Astyanax mexicanus: one gene and its partner. The protein of the gene in region 1 purifies or fractionates together with the protein of each later gene. This does not show direct contact. Links are inferred from orthologs where the notes say so. Each region holds a gene or a part of one and is shown in the gene's direction. Other genes may lie near its edges.

What was found. The genes of interacting proteins can lie anywhere in the genome.
Region 2: the proteins of retreg1 (region 1) and map1lc3a purify together in Homo sapiens (affinity purification with western blotting; 3 studies listed by BioGRID and IntAct, with this or other methods). This does not show direct contact. The link is inferred for Astyanax mexicanus from reciprocal best matches to the Homo sapiens genes RETREG1 and MAP1LC3A.

The regions. Positions count from the first base shown.
Region 1 is NC_064415.1:42,223,137-42,233,586, reverse strand, and holds the start of retreg1 (reticulophagy regulator 1), read left to right. Parts: upstream 1-6,127; 5' UTR 6,128-6,297; coding exon 6,298-6,464; intron 6,465-9,773; coding exon 9,774-9,880; intron 9,881-10,450. Other genes in the region: E3 ubiquitin-protein ligase RNF182, read right to left, coding at 868-1,620. UniProt on the Homo sapiens protein: Endoplasmic reticulum (ER)-anchored autophagy regulator which mediates ER delivery into lysosomes through sequestration into autophagosomes.
Region 2 is NC_064431.1:33,917,933-33,928,206, reverse strand, and holds the start of map1lc3a (microtubule-associated proteins 1A/1B light chain 3A), read left to right. Parts: upstream 1-5,396; 5' UTR 5,397-5,523; coding exon 5,524-5,563; intron 5,564-8,772; coding exon 8,773-8,828; intron 8,829-8,936; coding exon 8,937-9,043; intron 9,044-10,274. Other genes in the region: trichohyalin-like, read right to left, coding at 283-711, 808-1,107, 1,348-1,443, 1,483-1,671, 1,711-1,929. UniProt on the Homo sapiens protein: Ubiquitin-like modifier involved in formation of autophagosomal vacuoles (autophagosomes). While LC3s are involved in elongation of the phagophore membrane, the GABARAP/GATE-16 subfamily is essential for a later stage in autophagosome maturation.

The DNA.
Region 1 (10,450 bases):
CATATAAATATACAATAAATACCTATTTTTATTTTATTTAAAGAATCATTCATTTTACAAATTGATGCCAATAGGTTTCAGGTTAAAGGCCTGCTAAGGTAGGCTAAATACTTTATTAGCATACTCATATGTGGCCAACATACAACATCTCTCCCTCATTGAAACAATGACTCACACAGATTTTTCCAGTGCACATATCTATATTATTTACATTGTCATTAATTAATTGTCTGGGAAATAAAAGAAACACAGGAAAAAAACAATACACAGACACTCTTGTAATTGAATATATTTGGTGGATTACAAAACTAAGTAAAAATATTTTCAAAAAGTTTCCTGACAAAGTCCAAGATCAGCTTAATCCCTTTCTGGGAAACTTTTCCTATACAAAATATTAGCAAGAGAACACCTTAATTGTTGGGAGCTCTGTTGTAATTATGCTCTTTAGCAGCTTAGGATAAATGATATTTAATGTTTTATAGTTATTGTGATATTGGTCTTTCCAATGCTGATCATGTGTCATGAGCATTCTGACCAGTTCTCAGATTCTCAGGTTTTTGATGAATCAAGGCATTAACCCGATACACCATTAGCCATGTTACATCAAGGGTCCATTAGTTCATCCCATCCAAGGCATAATCACAATTGCGATTTGGAATTTAATGCTAAAAAAACATGACAAACTTAACTTTTAATCTCAGTCATTAATTAACACACTTCTCTTTCCTTAAATAAAACAGAAAATACCAAAATTGAGTCCATAGATTTCCACAAACCTGTCGCACCACTGATGCATCCAGAATTCCTGTGGTGAGGTCACCAGTTTAGATAACAAGTTTGGGCAAATAGTCCACCTCCCATTGGTAGTCATGGCAGGACACAGTTCCAGAACTCATGGCACATGCACTGGCAAAGCCCGTACCCCATGATCACGAGCAGACTGACGGGCACCAGGCTGACCAGCAGCACGCCCGGCGTGGTCTTCTGCATGATGAGCAGGTAAACGCCTAGTGGTAGGGAGCTGAAGTAGAGAAGCCCAAGGAGCCACAGCAGGGCTCGGGCTGAGGTCTGACAAAGCAGGGCTGCGCAGTTCCACACTGTCCAGCGCCGGGTAACCGAGGCCATGGAGTCCAGACTGGATGAGTGATGATTCCTTCCAGCCCCGTTGGTACCCACCACCGGCTCCTGTGGAGGCTCCATGATGGTGATGACCACATAGTTGGAGCGTATGGACGAAGGTGAGGCTGATGCCGAGTGGCCCACTAGAGTGTTCAAGCATCTGGGGCTCAACAAGATCTCGCCCTGGTGGTTCTCCCGAAGGCTGGAATAAAAGCGGGTACGGATGGTTAATGCCGTCACAAGGTTGCAATCGTCCGGCAGACTTGCCACAGCCTCTCCAGGGAGTCCAGTAACATAGCGACAGAAAGGACAGACCACCCCATTCGGGGGTGAGTCTCCCAGATCAAGGATCTTGGTCAAACATTTGGCACACAAGCGATGGCAGCACTCAAGCACTTTAGGCCGTCGTCCAGACAGAGTGTAAGGGCAGTAGCAGATCTTGCACTCCAGTTCCTCGGCTCCAAAGCCTTCCAAAACCTCCTCTGGAAGCTGACCCATCATGCCTCTCTCCTCTCAGTGTTGTGGCAAGGGCTTGTTGTAGTAACAGACATGGTTGAGAGACTCTTGCTACACCACAGACAGGTTCCAGAGAGAGTGCCATGCAGGCTTGGGCAAACTGGAGCAGCGTCTGAGCGGCGCTGGACCCATTCGCACTGGACACTCTTTCCTGCACTCTGTGGAAGGGTGGGGAGAGGCTGCCAGAGAAAAGATAACTGTTAACACAGCACTAGAGAACAAACGCGACAGCAACAAAGCAGGCCCTGTAAAACCAGGGCTGGAATTTTCTAGCCAGACCTTTTGTTGCCAGTCAAATTCAGTCCAATTAGTGCCTCCATTCCTCTTTTCTGTGGTGCACTGTTAACACTGATAAGGGGTCTTTCTACTGTATCTTATGTGTTGTAATAATTTTTTTTATTTTAAAAGACTTAGATTAAGCATTAAAAAACACAGTTGTAGGTAATTTTATTTTTATTTTGAATAAAAAAGGTGGATCTGTAAACTTCACTGAAAACTGCTCTTAATACTCAGCCAGTTCATCAGCATTCACTGGCTGCACAGGAGAAAATGGGCTATGCTCTCTGCTTCTGTCTTCTGCTCTGATTTGTGAGGCTATTATTCATAATCTACCATGTGTGATAGTTCACAGTCCTAGTTGCAGGCAGGAAATGATTTCAAATGCACCATAAATCTTGACACCATTGAAACAAAACCTACAGAAATTGGTTTGCTGTACCTGTGTTTCATCCCTAAAGACATAAGCAGGGATTTTAGGGCCACGCATTACAATACTAATTGTATACACGCTCTAAATAAAAGATACAGTGTGTAAATTGATCATGAAGTATTACCTCATGGGATGGCTTGCTTATGACCACACCTATATAAGTTAGAGGGTGTTTTCTAGTTGTCTAGTTGCTAGATGGATGGAAAATTCCATTTTTGAAGTTGTGCCTACATTTAACATTTCTGGATCCACAGTGTCACATGTGGTTGAACCAGTAATTTGTCATAAAAGGCATTACCACCCACTGTGGACAGTGCAGTGGGTGGTAATGATTGTGTCTGGGTAGAACTGTCCATGTGAACAGAGAAGCGACTCCCAGACAGAATAGTGATTCCATCAATGATCAGAACCTTTACGGGGATGTACGCCAGAGGTGAGTGGAATGAATTTCAGTGTGGAATGACCAGCATTTCTAGAGGAATTAAGACAGATTTAACTGACTGATATAATCACCTCCGACTGACAAACAACTGGGCCAGTAATGCCTAAAACCATACCTAATGTTGGGTTCATAGAAGTAATAGAATATACACTGCCTGGTCAAAAAAGGGTCACACACTCTAATATTTGGTTGGACCACCTTTAGCTTTAGCTGAGTACAGCATGCATTCACGGTGGCATCATTTTTACAAGCTCACAGTTTATTTCTGTTCATAGTTGCATTAGTTCTGCGCCAAGATCTTCTACTGATGAAGTCTTACCAGACACATCCCAAAGATTCTCAATGTGGTTCAGGTCTGGACTTTTAGTGATTAATCCATTTGTAAAATTACGTCTCATTCTCCCTAATCCACTCTTTTACAACTGGCTACTTCCCTACTTTCTACAGACAGCAAGATCTGCAAGGTCTAGATGCTTCAAGACCTGGGCCGATGACAGGGTCTATGCCAAAGATTTTTGATTCAGATATTGTTTCTGATCAAACTGTAAAGATTTTTGCCCGTTATGTTGCATTCTTGCCTCTGGAGTCTTCTGGCAAAACTGACTGACAAGTGCTATTGTTACCAGATGGGTTCTGCTCAGAGATCTAACTTAGCTAGCTTACATCCATTTTTAATGTTCATTTGGCAGCTGTCAAGCCTTCTTCTGACTGTTTATGTTGTTGGTTTCTTCGATTGACATGTTTTGCTGGTCAGTTTCTGTCCACAGTGCTTCTTGTGGATGGATATTTTTGGATAGTGGATCACTCTCTTCAAACCAGCATTGCTGCTGTGCTGGATATCTACCAACACACCAACCACATCCATGTGAAAAAAGTGAAAAAGCCTTTTAGAAGAACTTGCATTTCACCTAATATTAGATGTGCTGTATGTATATCTATAATTCTATGTATGTAATGAAACCCCCTCCAGAATATGTTGTATATTCACTCAGACCAGAAATAGAACAGTTCAAAGAAGTTAGAAGGCCCAACAGTGACATGGCATTCTGGTCTATGATGAGAGTATGTGGGGCTAATGCTTTGTAATGTCAATCAGCTGTGGACAGGGTTACAGCTGTCAGATTAGCAACATCCACATTTCTCACTCCACTAAAGCACAGAACAACTATTAAAAAAAAAGAGAAATATATATCTAAATTAAAGTAAAGTATTATTATTATTATTATTATTATTATTATTATTATTATTATTATTATAGCAGCAGCAGTAGCAGCAGTATTGATAGTAGTGGTGGTAGAACTAGTTGCAGACATACTACTAGTGGTAGTAGTTCTAGTGGTAGTACTAGCAACAACAATAGTAGTATTAACAGTGGCAATACCAATAAAAGTAGCAGCAGCAGTAATACTAATATAAATAGAGGTGGCAGTAGTAGTAGTGACAGTAGTAGTATTAATATTAGTAATTAGTAAGTAGTATTAATAATAATAGTGGTAGTAGTAGTAGTAGTAGAATTATCAATAATAGTAGTGGTACTATTAGAAGTATTAATAGGAAAAGTAAAAGTTGTAGTAGCATTTGTAGTAGTTGTAGTGATAGTGGTAGCATTAGTTGTAATAGTAGTAGTGGTGGTAGTAGTTATATTACTAGTAGTAGTAGTAGTAGTGATAGCAGTAGTTTTAATAGTAGAAGTACTAATAGTAGTAGTAGTAGTAAGAGTAATAATATTAATAGTTGTATTGGTAGCAGTGGTATTAAAATAAATAGTAGTATTTATAGTAGTAGTTTTAATAGTAGTAGTAGTAGTAGTAGTGATAGTAGTTGTACTAGTAGTAGTAGTAGTAAGAGTAGTAATATTAATAGTAGTAATATTAATAGTATTGGTAGCAGTGGTATTAATAGAAGTAGTATTATTTATAGAAGTAGTTTTAATAGTAGTAAGAGTAGTAGTAGTAGTAATGACAGTAGTAGTACTAATAGTAGTAGTAGTAAGAGTAGTAATATTAATAGTAGTAATATTAATAGTTGTATTGGTAGCAGTGGTATTAATAGAAGTAGTATTATTTATAGTAGTAGTTTTAATAGTAGTAGTAGTAGTAGTAGTAGTAGTAGTAGTAATGATAGTAGTAGTACTAATAGTAGTAGTAGTAAGAGTAGTAATATTAAAAGTAGTAGTTTTAATAGTAGTAGTAGTAGTAGTAATGATAGTAGTAGTACTAATAGTAGCAGTAGTAAGAGTAGTAATATTAATAGTAGTCGTTTTAATAGTAGTAGTAATAGTAGTGATAGTAGTAGTACTAATAGTAGTAATAGTAAGAGTAGTAATATTAATAGTAGTAATATTAATAGTTGTATTGGGAGCAGTGGTATTAACAGAAGTAGTATTATTTATAGTTGTAGTTTTAATAGTAGTAGTAGTAGTAGTAGTAGTAGTAGTAATGATAGTAGTAGTACTAATAGTAGTAGTAGTAAGAGTAGTAATATTAATAGTAGTAGTTTTAATAGTAGTAGTAGTAGTAGTAGTGATAGTAGTAGTACTAGTAGTAGTAGTAAGAGTATTAATATTAATAGTAGTAATATTAATAGTTTTATTGGTAGCAGTGGTATTAATAGAAGTAATATTATTTATAGTAGTAGTTTTAATAGTAGTAGTAGTAGTAGTAGTAATGATAGTAGTAGTACTAATAGTAGTAGTAGTAAGAGTAGTAATATTAATAGTAGTAGTTTTAATAGTAGTAGTAGTAGTAGTAGTAGTGATAGTAGTAGTATTAATAGTAGTAGTAGTAAGAGTAGGAATATTAATAGTAGTAATATTAATAGTTGTATTGGTAGCAGTGGTATTAATATAAGTAGTAGTGTTTATACTAGTAGATGGTAGCAGTAGTGATAGTAGTAGTAGTATTAATATTAGTAGTCATAGAAGTAGTAGTAGTGAAAAAATAATTGTAGAATTTGTAGAAGTAGTTCCAGCAGTAGGATTAGTAGCATTAGCATTAGTACTATTAGTAAGTTCAAAATAATATAATAATATAAACACATGAATGCAATGGTATTGATATTATAGCTTAACACACTATAACATGTACTATGATTTTATTGTTGCTATTATTATCATTAACACTAATGATATTTCTCACTTTTTTCTCACTTTAATTTAATTACCAGAATAATGATCAGAAATGATAAACATGCAATACACATATTTATTATTTAGATTTATATGTCACGTGTTCTATTATTAATAAATCCAGCATTTTTAAATCTTTCTTTGAAGTCTTATTATAATAATGACGTGAGCGTTCCCATGGACCCTCGGCGGGTTGTCTCGGGATGACGTCGCCGTTCACAACAACAACAACACCAACATCACCAGCGGAGCAGCAGCAGCAGCAGCAGCGCCTCCTCCTCCTCCTCCTCCTCCTCCTCCTCCAGCAGCAGCGGCAGCAGCAGCAGCAGAGCCACCACCGGCCGGCGCTGTGGAGAGGGCGAGGCGGAGCGCGGAGCTTTCGCCATGGCAGGAGCGGCGCAGCCGGTGCAGGAGAGCGGGAGCCCGGGCGCAGCGCTGGCGGCTGCAGGGAGCGGGCAGCGGGCTGGAGGATGCCGCGTGCAGGAGCTGGTGGACTGGGGGAGACCCTTCAGGACCAGCGCGCTGTTCGCGGCCACCAACGCGCTGTTCTGGTGAGAGACATGACGCAGCGTTTTCATTTCACTTTTAATCTTGGTTTAATAGAGTGTAGACATGGACCACAGCCTGCAGAGACTCTCCACACACTGGAGTAGTGTTCTAGGTTAATTAACTAAGATAGATAATTAACTAGTTTGTGTAGTTTGTGTGTTAGTCAGAGTTATTTCAGTGTATTTAAGCTTAAAGCAGGTTTTCCCAGTAGCTTAGGATAAATAACTCAAAACAAACACAAATCTGCATCATATAATCATCATTCACTTCTCCTCCCATTTAAAAATTCTTGACATTTGAGTGAAATGATCTGGCCAGGCCAGAAATCCTGCTTGGTGAAATACCTCCCAGGTCATGCAGGCCTGTGTGTGTGTGTTTTTGTATTTGTGTGTGTTGATGTTTAAGGTGTTTAAGGAGCAGGCCTGTCTGCCTGCACTTCATTACTTTCCCTAGGTCATGTTTGCTTTTCATCACACCTGCTGTTACTTAAGGCTCGAACACCACCTGATGAGATTAGATAGGACATTTATAGCCCGCTGTTTTAGCAAGCTAGCAGAGCTGTGATAAAGCTACCCTCTGTTTGCTATCTCTACCTGTACATCCATACAATCTAGTATATACTATATACTGTATGATACATGCATGTTTTTCCCTCTCTCGCTTTTGTTTTCCAAGTAGGCACGACTTTGCAAAACACTGGATGTAGGTTAAGAAACTAAGTGTTCCCCCATTGGAATTATATAAATACCCTGCCCATGTTATTCCTTCTTGTAAGTAAGCTGTGTCCTGGATTTAAAATGCTGGAGATTATGCACCCACACCTCCTGCCGGGAGCCAACACTGCTAGGCGGGAGCAGCCAGGTGCACATGACGCATATCCTGCTTCTCCTACCAGCAACCTTCAAGAGGTTTATAGGTATACGACAGCTTGAAGTTGAACAGGGCATTGTGGAAAGAGGCAGCGCTGTGCTTCCCACTACGTTTAGGTTTACAGTACACATAGGAATCTGCTTTTCCATGTTAAGTTTAATGGAAAATACCAGAGATGTATAGAAACGAAGTTGAAGTACTTCATTACTGTAATTAAGTACTAAAATGCTGTATCTATATCTACTGGAGTAGTATTTTTTTCTCCTTATCGTTGATTTAAATATTTTTACTCTGATAAATTGTTTATGTGCTGCATCCTTACTTGTTATAATTGTAAAACTGGTACAAATCATTCCAAACCCACATTATCACTACCAGAGTAGTAGATGCTTTGCACTGTCACCAGGTTTGATGAAGCTCTTCATACTTTTTTTTGTTTATTTATTTTCTTTCCTTATTTACTCTCGATGTAGCTAGGCCAATTGTCCAACCCATTCAGCTGTTGCTCATCTGTTACTCAGCTGCTACTCAGCTCTACATCCCCCATCACAGGTGATGTCATAACACAAGGAGTGTGAAGACCAGCACATGCCTCCTCTGACATATGTGAAGTCAGCTATCGCCTCTTTTTGAGCTGCTGCTGATGCAGCATTGCCAAATAGCATCACAGCACGCTCTGAGGAAAGAGCAGCATCTCATTTCCGATACATCAGCTCACAGATGCCTTGTGCTGATCAACATCACCCTACGACTTATAAGGGGAAAGAGCGCTGTTTATCCACCCAGAGACAGCAAGGCAGACAGCACTGTGCTCTCTCAGGGCTTCGGCAGCTGATGGCTAGCTGCATGACCAGGATTCCAACCGGCGATGCCCCGATCATATTGGCAGTGCTTTAGACCACTCAGAGACAAAATTCTTCATCATTGAGTGAATCAAGCAATCAAGCTGATCTTATAGGGAAACCCTGCTGCTCACCTTCTTTCTTTTGCGCAGCACACACAATACTTAACACACAGTACTTTTACTTTTAGTACTTGAGAAGTACATTTTATAATACACTTCTTCATACAATACAGCAGTACCAAAAATGTTAAATACTTCCACTGTGTGGTACTTTAACTCAAGTCTGGATCTCTAACCAGTTTAAACTACTCTAACATTTGAACCATTTATACACTGGGACGTCAAAAGATAAAAGTCATGGGATAGCAGTGTGTGTGAAATTGAATTTGAAATGTAACCTTAGGGCATGGCTTGGAAACACTCATATAATAATAATAAGAAGAAGAATAAATAATTAATTCCTTATAAGTCTCACAGTGGGAAAGTTTTAACCTCTGCATTTTAACCCATCCATGCATCCAATTATTGGAGTTCGAGCTAGGCCTAATAATGGGTGCCAGATACAAGGCATTACCACCCACAGTGGACACTGAACATCTATACTCAGTGTGTGGTAATGATCATGATCATGGTGGCATCTGACTATAATTGCCCATTTAAAAAGACAAGCCACTCTGGCAGAAATCACATCCATGTTCAGTGCAGAAGGCTCCACAAGCATATTCCACCGACCAGTGCATCATCCTTTATCTTCCATTGGACATAATACGTATTCCTGTTCCATGACTTTTGGAATGTAATTACAGTTTAGATTAGATCCAGACCACCAGACCATCAGTAACTGATCTCATAACATCAGTCATCACTTAATGCAGTCAAATACTTACTGCAAGTGGAAAGGCTTTCTCAATAAGTATAGGTTGTAACTGCAAGAAAGGGAAGAGGATAAGGTAAAAAAATAAAAGGCTCACCATACGCTTTATGGAAGTCCAATTCTAAAATGTTGAGGGGTTTACATATTTACATGAATATTTCCCAATTTCTCTCTATCCTTTGAAACTAAACAGTTTGTGCGTTTAGGACAGATATAGATATCTGGGGAAAAAATAAGAGACCAATTAAAAATGAGTTTCTTTGATTTTACCAAATTAAAAACCTCTGTAATATAATCAAGAGGAAGATGGATGATCACAAGCCATCAAACCAAGCTGAACTGCTTGCATTGTGTAAGACTGGTGGAGGAGAATATGCCAAGATGCATGAAACTGTGATTAAAACCAGGGTTATTCCACCAGATATTGATTTCTGAACTCTTAAACCTTTATGAATATGAACTGGTTTTCATTGCATTATTTAGGTCTGAAAGCTCTGCATCTTTTTTGTTTATTTTACTCAAACATATACCTATAAATAGCAAAATCCAAAAAAACTGATTCAGAAACTTAAGTGGTCTCTTAATTTTTCAGGGCTGTATGTAGGAGAGCTTTGCTCTGATTGACTGCACTGTAGAATGGCTTAGAAGTCCAGAAAGAAACCCTTTATTGATAAAAAAAGGTATGACATCATATTTATATCTTTATTTTTCTCTCATATCCAGGTTTGTGTCCCTGAGTCCCTGTAGGGTGGTCTGTCTTCTCTGCCTGTGTCTGGCTCTCCTGATGATGGTACAGCTCCTGAGGGATATGATGCTTTCCAGGTCAAGAGGTGTGGATCCAATACAGCCTCCCACTTCATCAACACCAAAGACCATTTAATGCCCCTTTATTAAATTGGACACCTAAATGTTATTGAATCACATGGATTTATAAAGTTTTATGTAAAGCCATAGTGAACAGTTATCAGCATAATGCCAAAAAGCATATTTACTAAAGGGTTAATAGCGTATAATCCCCATAGTGGACAGCACACACACTCTGGCAGAAATCACATTTAATGTAGGAAACCCTACATGCATATGCTAGCATTCTGTAGCTTACATGGGATGTGATACAAAATGCAATCTGGGCTAAAACGCACCTTAACGCAATTTAGCTAATCTGCTCTAGGCTGCCCATTCTGTATTTCATCAATGATGAACAGCTGTGATAATCAGTATCAGTAATAGTAGTGCATGGTTTAGTGCAAAAGTGTACAAAAAAAACATACAATAGAACAACCACTTTTGGTACCATAAGAACCACGGTTGTCACATTGATCAGACACACGACAGACTATCACAGATACCAAACACACAGTTTATTAAAAAAGTAGCTAGGCTTACAGGAGAAGTAAGGG
Region 2 (10,274 bases), on another chromosome or scaffold:
TTATAAATTGATTTATATTATCTCCTCCGTTACGTGTTGGAGAGGAGTTTATTAACACATGGAGCTATGAACGAGCTCAACATGTAGATACAGATGGATCAGATGAGTTTGGAGAGGAGTTTAAATACCAAAACATGAAGCTATGAATGAGCTCAACCTGTTGGCCAGAGACTTCATTCCCTGCTTTATGACCCCTCCTTCTGATGCACCAGGGGGCGCTGTAGATTGATGACTCTTATACTCCTCCATCTGCTGCCTCTCCACCTCTATTAGAGGCCACGGCTAGAAGAAGGGTACAGGGAGGAAGGGTACAGGGAGAAAGGGTACAGGGAGGAAGGGTACAGGGAGAAAGGGCGCTGTAGGTGGAGGAATTTTATACTCTATCTGCCGCCTTTCCTCCTCTATCTGCCTCCTTTCCTCCTCTATCTGCCGCCTCTCCTCCTCTATCTGCCTCCTTTCCTCCTCTATCTGCCGCCTCTCCTCCTCTATCTGCCTCCTTTCCTCCTCTATCTGCCGCCTCTCCTTTTCTTCTTGCCTCTCCTCCTCTATCTGCTGCGGCACCTCTATCCATGGCCTCTCCTTCTCTAGCTGCCTCTCCTCCTCTAGCTGCCTCTCCTTATCTAGCTGCCTCTCCTTCTCTAGCTCCTGCAGATCCTTCGCTATGAGCATCCATGGGTATATTAACGGTACAGGGCCAGGAGCAACGTACTCCTCTATCCACTGCTTCTCCTCCTCTATCTGCCTCTCCTCCTGTATCTGCTGCGGCACCTCTATCCACGGCCTCTCCTCCTCTATCTGCTGCGGCACCTCTATCCACGGCCTCTCCTCCTCTATCTGCCTCTCCTCCTCTATCTGCCTCTCCTCCTCTAGCTGCCTCTCCTTATCTAGCTGCCTCTCCTTCTCTAGCTCCTGCTGATCCTTCGCTATGAGCATCCATGGGTATATTAACGGTACAGGGCCAGGAGCAACGTACTCCTCTATCCACTGCCTCTCCTCCTCTATCTGCCTCTCCTCCTCTATCTGCTTCTCCTCCTCTATCTGCCTCTCCTCCTGTATCTGCTGCGGCACCTCTATCCACGGCCTCTCCTCCTCTATCTGCTGCGGCACCTCTATCCACGGCCTCTCCTCCTCTATCTGCCTCTCCTCCTCTATCTGCCTCTCCTCCTCTATCTGCCTCTCCTCCTCTATCTGCCTCTCCTCCTCTATCTGCCTCTCCTCCTCTATCTGCTGCGGCACCTCTATCCACGGCCTCTCCTCCTCTATCTGCCTCTCCTCCTCTATCTGCCTCTCCTCCTCTATCTGCCTCTCCTCCTCTATCTGCCTCTCCTCCTCTATCTGCTGCGGCACCTCTATCCACGGCCTCTCCTCCTCTAACTGCTTCAGCACCTCTATCCACGGCCTCTCCTCCTCTATCTGCCTCTCCTCCTCTATCTGCTGCTGCACCTCTATCCACGGCCTCTCCTCCTCTATCTGCTGCTGCACCTCTATCCACGGCCTCTCCTCCTCTATCTGCCTCTCCTCCTCTATCTGCCTCTCCTCCTCTATCTGCCTCTCCTCCTCTATCTGCTGCGGCACCTCTATCCACGGCCTCTCCTCCTCTAACTGCTTCAGCACCTCTATCCACGGCCTCTCCTCCTCTATCTGCCTCTCCTCCTCTATCTGCTGCTGCACCTCTATCCACGGCCTCTCCTCCTCTATCTGCTGCTGCACCTCTATCCACGGCCTCTCCTCCTCTATCTGCCTCTCCTCCTCTATCTGCCTCTCCTCCTCTATCTGCTGCAGCACCTCTATCCACGGCAAAATCTGCGTCTTCAGCATTTGCATCCTCTCCTCCTCCTCCGCCTCTATAAGCGGTAATTCCTCTTCCTTCTTCTTCCTGCGGAACTTTATCTTCGGGACGAGTTTTTTCAACCAGCGTTTAAAACCCATTGTGACAGTAAAGGATCTGCACTAAGCTCAGTGTGTATAGAACCGTAGTGGTGTCACCTCACGCTCGGGTCTATTTATACCTTTTGGGTTATGACATCATGCCCTCGCGCGATGACGTCACGCGCCCTTATTCGCGATTCTATTCACTGTCCGCGAAACAGTTCTCTGGACCAATCAGAGTTGCTGTCAGCGTTGCTAGGATACGGGGCAGGACTCCCTGCTAGGATACATGCGCGCGCATAACAACAACAAACAGAAGATTCCGCCTTCGCCCTAATGGAGTAGGCAGCAAGGAGCACCGGAGTCCAGCTATCCGCGCTTCGGAAATTCCCAGTCAAGTCATCCGCGCTTTAAATTTAGATGCGCGTATTCGCGCGATTTTACGGTAAACAGACGCGCAGGCGGAGAGCGCGCTAAAAAAACACAGAGAAGAGGAGACCGACACGTTTCAGTCGGTTATATTAATTCAGACATACATTAAGCCCAGAAACGAGAAGAAAACGGATTAAAATAACTCACCTCACTGTAGATTCTGTGCAGTACATTATCTATTTGATAGAATACCATAACAATCCCATCAGTGTTTAAGAGAGAGAGAGAGAGAGAGAGAGAGTTTTATATTAACATTACTTTTTTCAATCCATGCTTCAAAATAAATTGGGCAAATTTTACTGTTTTGTTTATTTTATATTATTGTTTTTTATTCATGCTTAAAATTCAATTTCTCATGATTTTCCCATAATGCCAAAACAGGTCCACTACCATTTGAAAGAGTCTGTCCTAGGCTATGACTCCTGCAAGTTTGGGCAAATTTCACTGTATTGTTTATACCTTCACTTTCAGATTCAGTGTTTCACTCCTGGTACAAAAATGTATACTCTCAATTAAAGACCTGTTTATTGATAAAGTTTTTGCCACAATCAAAAAACTGTCAGAAGTGTGAGGCGAATGTCATTGGTACCTTTATGCATATGTTCTTTGAATGTGAGCCAGTTTCAAAATTCTGGGACTTTGTTTTAGAAGTGGTGTCAATTTTAAGTGACAAAATGATTGTAAACCAACCTGGTTTATGTCTGTTAAATGATGGCTACTCTCTGGATCTTACTGTAAATCTAAATTTTGTATACGACCTTAACAGCTGCTAAAAAAACATCCTTAGAGTTTGGTTTGAGTCAACTACCTCTCTTAACAGGATCTGGCTTGCAGAATATAAACACATTATCTTATTGGAGCGCTCAACAGCAAGGATTAATAAAGCCAAGTCAAGAAAAATTAGAGGCTAATATCATAATATCATGATATTAAAAATCCATATTGTGATAATAGGGCTGTTCTGTCTTAAAAGTAGTCTATTATTCACTGTGAAGCTTTAGGTGTATTTATTGTATAATTGTTTTAGTTTGCAGTTTATATGCATGCACTAAATATTCTGCAATATTATTTGCTGCATTATATTATTTTATGCTATATTATTTATTTTGCCACATTATGATTATACTGTTATACTCTTATACTATATTCCTGAAATTAATTAATTATTTTTTTGTTTTCCTATATCGCCAATTATATCGTTATCCCAAAAATACCCTGAAATATCGTGATATTATTTTAGAGCCATACCGCCCACCCCTACATTGGACTACTGTATGTAATACTGATTTAATGTAAGCTCTGGAGACGGACTGTAGAAATGTATAGGTCTGTGATGGGTAATGGAAGCAGTTGATGTGTGGCCTTTGTAGGTTATTTTCTGGATTATCATCATTATTATTACTATTACTATTATTATTTTCTTTTTTTTTTAAATATGTATATATGTATATATAGGTTTTTCCTGTCCCCCCTCTTCATATGGAGTTCAGTGTAATGTATATCTATATACTAATATGTACTGACGTATAACCTATTAGTTTTGATGTGTGCTTTCCCTGGCAGTCCCTGGCTTTGTATATAGTATAAAAAATGAGATGAATGATGTATAATTTGACGATGAAAGTTAAAAATAAAAAATATTGTTCACAAAAAAAAATCTTGAGCTGATTATTTACTAGCGTTTCTAAAATTTTGGATAAACAAATTGTGTTTTCTAATCCGTTACTTGTTCATGCTGGAGTTATCGTTAATTTACAAGTAAAGTGGATTAACACGGCTAACGTGCATTACCCATTAGTTTAATAGGATGTAAAATGCAGTAAAGCCTGTATGAATTGTGTCTTGCGGCTGAAGGAAGAAGGACAATTGTGGCCAATGTAACTGAAACTCATTAAGATGGATTGCACAGGGTCCATTTAAAAGAGTAATTAACTGACTTCCAACAGTGTAAGATGTATTACCAGGAAGCAACAAATAAATAATCTACCAAAACATGAAATTTATAACTTTATGTGCTATGTTTATGTGGGAATAACACAGAACTTACATGTACCAGAACATTTAACAGGACTTTTACCAGATTTAAAAAAATCTGTGATGGTGTTGGTATTTAACACATATACACTATTGCATATTGTAAAAATACAATATTGTATACAAATGTAGTTTTATTAGATTTTTATTTTACATTTACGTTTATTTGTATTTTTATATATATATATATTTTATTGGGCAGTTTCATATTTTTGACACGGCTGCTTTTATTTTGTATCCTCCTGAAAAAAAAAAGCAGGACTGTGCTGCCACAGCTGGTTCATGCAGAGACTGGCTACTTCCGGTCATCTCCTTTATAGCAGAAAGCATCTACTAAAAAAACGCTAGAGGAAGCACGTGAGGGAGTCTTTAATGAATGAGGGTAAAAGGAGCTAAACGGCTAAATACTCAAATTAGAACTAGGAGAGAAAGTATGTGAACAGACTTTTACAAGCTTGCTTGGAAAAGTGCAAGTTCTACCAGGAAGGCAGAAGCTGGTGATTGATTAAGATACGAGTGACTAGCACAGGAGTTTTCGGCTAGAACTAACACTGAAGCTTACAGTACAACAAGTATACAGATTATCACGTTTCTAGCTAAAAATAACTGTTTCTTTTAGAGTAGTTTACATTTCTGACAAAAGTTTACAGACACTTTTGAATGGATTTCAATTGGGAAATGTCTGATGCCTCTCTGCTTACCGCTCTCTTAAAAAGGGGTGAAATTTTGTTAATGAATAAGTGTTAAGTCTCGGCTTGAAAAAGCATGCTAATAACGTAAAAAAAAAAGAAGTTTATAAACAGCTAAAAAACTGCAAAAGTAAATCTATCTGCTGCCTCTCCCCCTTGCTTTTCCAAGCCAATTTTTAAAGCTCAGATCTGATTGGCATAAATCTAGATTTGGCACGTTCACACAGCCATGAAAAAAATTTGATTGGAGTCACTTCAAACTGGTAATGTGAACGTATCTATCCATCCATCCATCCATCAATCCGAACCCATTCTGGAGTGGGAGTTCTCGGCTGTTCAGGCTCTTTGGCGCTGTTCCCTTTAAAACTCCGTGGCGTTCTGCGCATGTCTTTATCGCCTCTGGCTCGGAGTTGCTGACGAGGATCAGAACAATAATAAAAACAGAGAGGAATAAAACTACAGATTATTATTGTTATTTTATTCATCTTAAACTACAATTATGCCTTCTGATAGACCTTTCAAACAGCGGCGGAGCTTCGGTGAGTTTATATATAAGCGGGTAGAAGCTGTTTAATGTGTTTTAATGTTTATCAGACTGTGTTGTTTTGGTTAGTCTGATAATCTGAACAGTGAGAGATTTAACCGTTACGTTAATAAACATAAAGCCAATGATAGTTATAATGTTGTAACTAACGTTACTAAATAATATACATGGCTAGCCTATTAACGTCTCAAGTTTCAGCCGGTGTGTTTATATCTACTTTTAGTACTTACTTGTTTTATCTAAAATAGAGTCTCTACGGTTTAGTTTAGCTCATGTCCTATTATATAATATAACGTTACAGCTCTGGAAGCAATGAAGAGAGCACTTCAGTTTCTGAATCAGTTTCTCTGATTTTGCTATTTATAGCTTTATGTTTGAGTAAAATGAACATTGTTGTTTTATTCTATAAACTACAGACAACATTATTATCATTATTGTCATTTATAACATTTATTATGTATTGCAAAAAAAGGGAAATGGCAGTACAAATAATGCAAAGAAAACTAGTTCATATTCATAAAGCTTAATTCACAGTTTTAATTTCATGCATCTTGGAATCATGTTCTCCTCCTCCACCAGTCTTACACACTGCTTTTGGATAACTTTATACTGCTTTACTCCTGGTGCAAAAAAATATTCAAGCAGTTCAGTTTGGTGGTTTGATGGCTTGTGATCATCCATCTTTCTCTTGATTATATTCCAGAGGTTAATTTGGTAAAATCAAAGAAACTCATAATTTTTTAAGTGGTCTCTTGTTTTTTTTTTTTTTTTTTAGAGCTGTATTTGCAGAAGAAAAACTCTATGTATATTTTGGCCAGCCATAATTCTCCTTATTATGGGTCACGTTAAAGCACATTGCAGGGAAATAAATGTAATTTATTTAGGAATTTGGGAGAAATGTTGTCTGTAGTTTATAGAATAAAACAACAATGTTCATTTTACTCAAACATAAACCAATAAATAGCGATTTTTACAGAGCTGTATGTGCAAACATACCGATAATTTATCAATACTAAGGGAGATAGCGTTATAACAGTATGGTTAAAAAATCTAGAAAGACATTAAGCTATCCCCAGTACACAGAGGAGACGAAAATGTGCGTATTATAGAGTTATATTGTCCACTGTAGCATAAAAATAGAAGTTATTAAAGTTATTAAAACCTGGTGGCTAGAGGCCTTTTAGCTTAGCCAAGCTAACGTTAGCTTTTAACCTGACAAACTAGCTAACCTAGCTAGCAAGATAAGCCAAGTTTTGCTGTTTTAGCTAACTTAAAGTGAACAAACGTGTTGTCTGACTTAATTTAGTCTCATAAATGTCTTTATTTTTAGTATCTGGTCTTCAGTATCGTGCATTTTACGCGATGAATCCGCTGAGGCCCTTATTTACTTTACCTCAACACGTAGCTATAGCGTTAGCTTAGCATTAGCTTAGCATTAACTTGCCCAAAACGGCACTTTACTGTTTTTATTGAGCTGTAGGTTAAAGCTATATTAGAACTAACCTTTATATGTGTGTTTTAGGATAACTTAATTAGTTAACTACATGATAAATTATTATTTAAGCTTTTAGCGAACTAAATTGATCCTAAATACCTGATTTCTTAAGGGGGACCCAGTGCACTAAGTAGGTTAGCTAGATAAAAATATAACCTATGTTAGGTTAGGTGCTTAAACTTAATCCTAAAAAGTCTATTTAAATGATTTCATTACTTTTTAGAGCACTATATAGAGAGTAAACCCCTCTATTTCATGCCTTGTATATTTCTTTACATTAATAATTAATCCTAACCCTAAATAGGGCTCTACATTTAGAGTAAATACTTCTATTTTAAGGCCAATGTAGAGCTCTTTAAACAGAATAAATACCTCTAATTTATCCCTATATATTTCTTTACGTTATGAATTAATCTCTCTATTTCTTGCTCAATATAGAACACTATATACAGAATAAACTTCTCATGCCTTATATATTTCTTTACATTAGGAGTAAATTCCTCTATTTCATGTCCTATGTTGAGCGCTATATATTGAGTACATATTTAAATTGTATGTCCTAAATAGTGCTCAACATTAAGAGTAAATACCTCTGTTTTATGCCCTATGTAGGGCACTATATACAAAGTAAACACCTCTATTTATATGTCTTTACATTTAGAGTAAATACCTCCATTTCATGCCCAAATGTGGGGCACTATATACAGAGTAAACACCTCTATTTCATGCCATATATATATTTCTTTACATTAAGAAGTAGTCCCTTTATTTAATGTCCTATGTTGAGCACTATAGAGAGAGAAAATCCCACAAAATTCACATCTTATAGCTCTACAATGAGTAAATTTGTCTATTTTATGCCCTGTATTCCTAAATCTCTGTTTTATGACCTATGGAGTGCACTATATATGGAGAAGAAAACAAATTTCAGTGACCCATGTAGTGCACTATATTCTACATAGCTTTTCCAGGTGCTGTTAATTGTAAATATTGCTGTTAGTTATCTGAGCTGTTTCTGTGTTTTAGTTAAACTAACAAACTGAGCTACTCAAAATGACCCCAGACACTGAACTAACCAACTCAAAAACAGCATTTAAATTGATAAAATTCGGTACCACGAGGATGTTTTTGTTTATTGTCATAATTATAAGCATTTATGGAAGTGCAAATGTTAGGATTATTATGGTTTGCTGTGCCTGTTAAGCAATAAACATCAACACAAGATCAAATTACAGCTTCAGCACAGGGTGAACGGGTGTAACCCTTCCCCCCATGTTGTACCTCGTGCTGATTGTGACGATATGATTTTAAATAGTCTCTTAAGTGGTTGCCTGCTCATTCATTATTTCTTCCAAAATCTAAGATATTGAAAAGAAAAAGAGTTCATATAGTGTAATAAACTATGTACTATTCGATAAGAGAAATTTAATAGTGAAGTGATCTATCAGACTATGAAGGAACACTTAAGGAATCATGTTGTAACTTAAAAACAGTGTTAAACAAACTAAAATACTCTGTGAAGCATTAAGGTGCTCTTATCTGATAAACCTATCCTGTACAACTCTTCCTTTCCTGGGGCGGTCCTGATGAGTGCCAGTTTCATCATTGTACTGGTTTTTAAGGTCTTTTTCGATGTCTAGAGATTCTGTGTAAATCATTTGATGAATTGTTTTCTCTTGATTTTTAAGCTATTTTATTTTTATTCTCAGCTGATCGCTGTAAGGAGGTGCAGCAGATACGAGAGCAGCATCCTAATAAAATTCCGGTAAGAACTGTTAGGAATTTTAGAAATACATTTAAAAGTTAATGAATTAACCTTGAATAATATGATAATGTTTATTAAATACAGCTGGAACTGTGTTTTTGCCTGTAGGTCATCATTGAGAGATATAAGGGAGAAAAGCAGCTTCCCGTTTTGGACAAGACCAAGTTTCTTGTACCTGATCACGTCAACATGAGCGAACTGGTGAAGATTATCAGGTGAGAGTTCAGTTTGTTGAGGTGTGTTCAGGTACGTTTCTGGGGTTTTGCTTGTTTATATTGGTAACAGAAAACACAGGAGCTCCACTGACTGAATACAACCTAGACAGATGGCAACAGTCAGACGTTCATCGCTATCTCGGTAACACAGGCGCTGTGCCGAGCCGAGTGTACGCCCCCACTTATTACACACACATGAACACACAGCAGCACAAACCCAACTTTTACATCAACAATAAACAGAATAGTAAATGAAATAACATTGCTGTTCCCGTAAATGAGCTGCTGGAGCTCCTTCACAGCGTCAACCAGCAGCTCAGTTTCCTCTGCTGAGAAGAGTTTGTTAAACACGTCCAGGTAGCTGCACCGTTACAATAGCAATCCACCAAAGACAGAGCTCACCTGGTTCTACTCTTAAAGAGAATGATGAACAAGAGACACTCTGATTTTGGTTTAAGCTATTACTCAGGCTTCCACTATGATCATGAGATGACTGGTTTGAATCCAGGTCATGCAGCTTGCTATCAGCTGTGTAAATTGGGGATAAATATCCTGCAGTAAAGTACACTAGCTGATGTAAAGTGAAGTGTTTGTGTGTCTGTTTGCAGCAGTCTCACGTGGTCTCACGCTTGCTCAGGCTGGTTTGTTTACTGTGTTGACTGCTCCTGAGTGTTCTGGGGGAGGGTTAAGGGGTTAGTGGGGGTAGGTATAGCATGTGCCAGAGATTTAGAGCTCTTGCTGACCCTGCCGTCCTCCGGGACAGACTGCAGCTCACGCTTTTAAACTTTCCAGCTCTAAAATTAGCTTTGTTATCGTTGGAGGCCGTTCACTTCCCATCCTGTAGCTCCTGAAAGAACAACACTAGTGTAGAAGAGCTCTGAACACTGTTTTCTGAAAAATGGATTAGCATGCTTTAGCCAAGCTCTTAGAATATTTCACCATCCACTGGATCAAATGGCCTCGATATCCAACATTTGTGAGTGGCTATTGAGTGTAGGCTGTTTCCCAATCACAGCTCAACAGTTTATTATTATTCCAATTAACCCCTTACATATTACATACAGCTTTGTAAAACATGAAAAGAGCACTTCAGTTTCTGAATGAGTTTCTCTGATTTTGCTATTTTATAGGTTTATGTTTTAGTAAAATTGTTGTTTTATTCTATAAACTACAGACATTTCTCCCAAATTCCAAATAAAAATATATATTGTCATTTAGAGCATTTATTTGT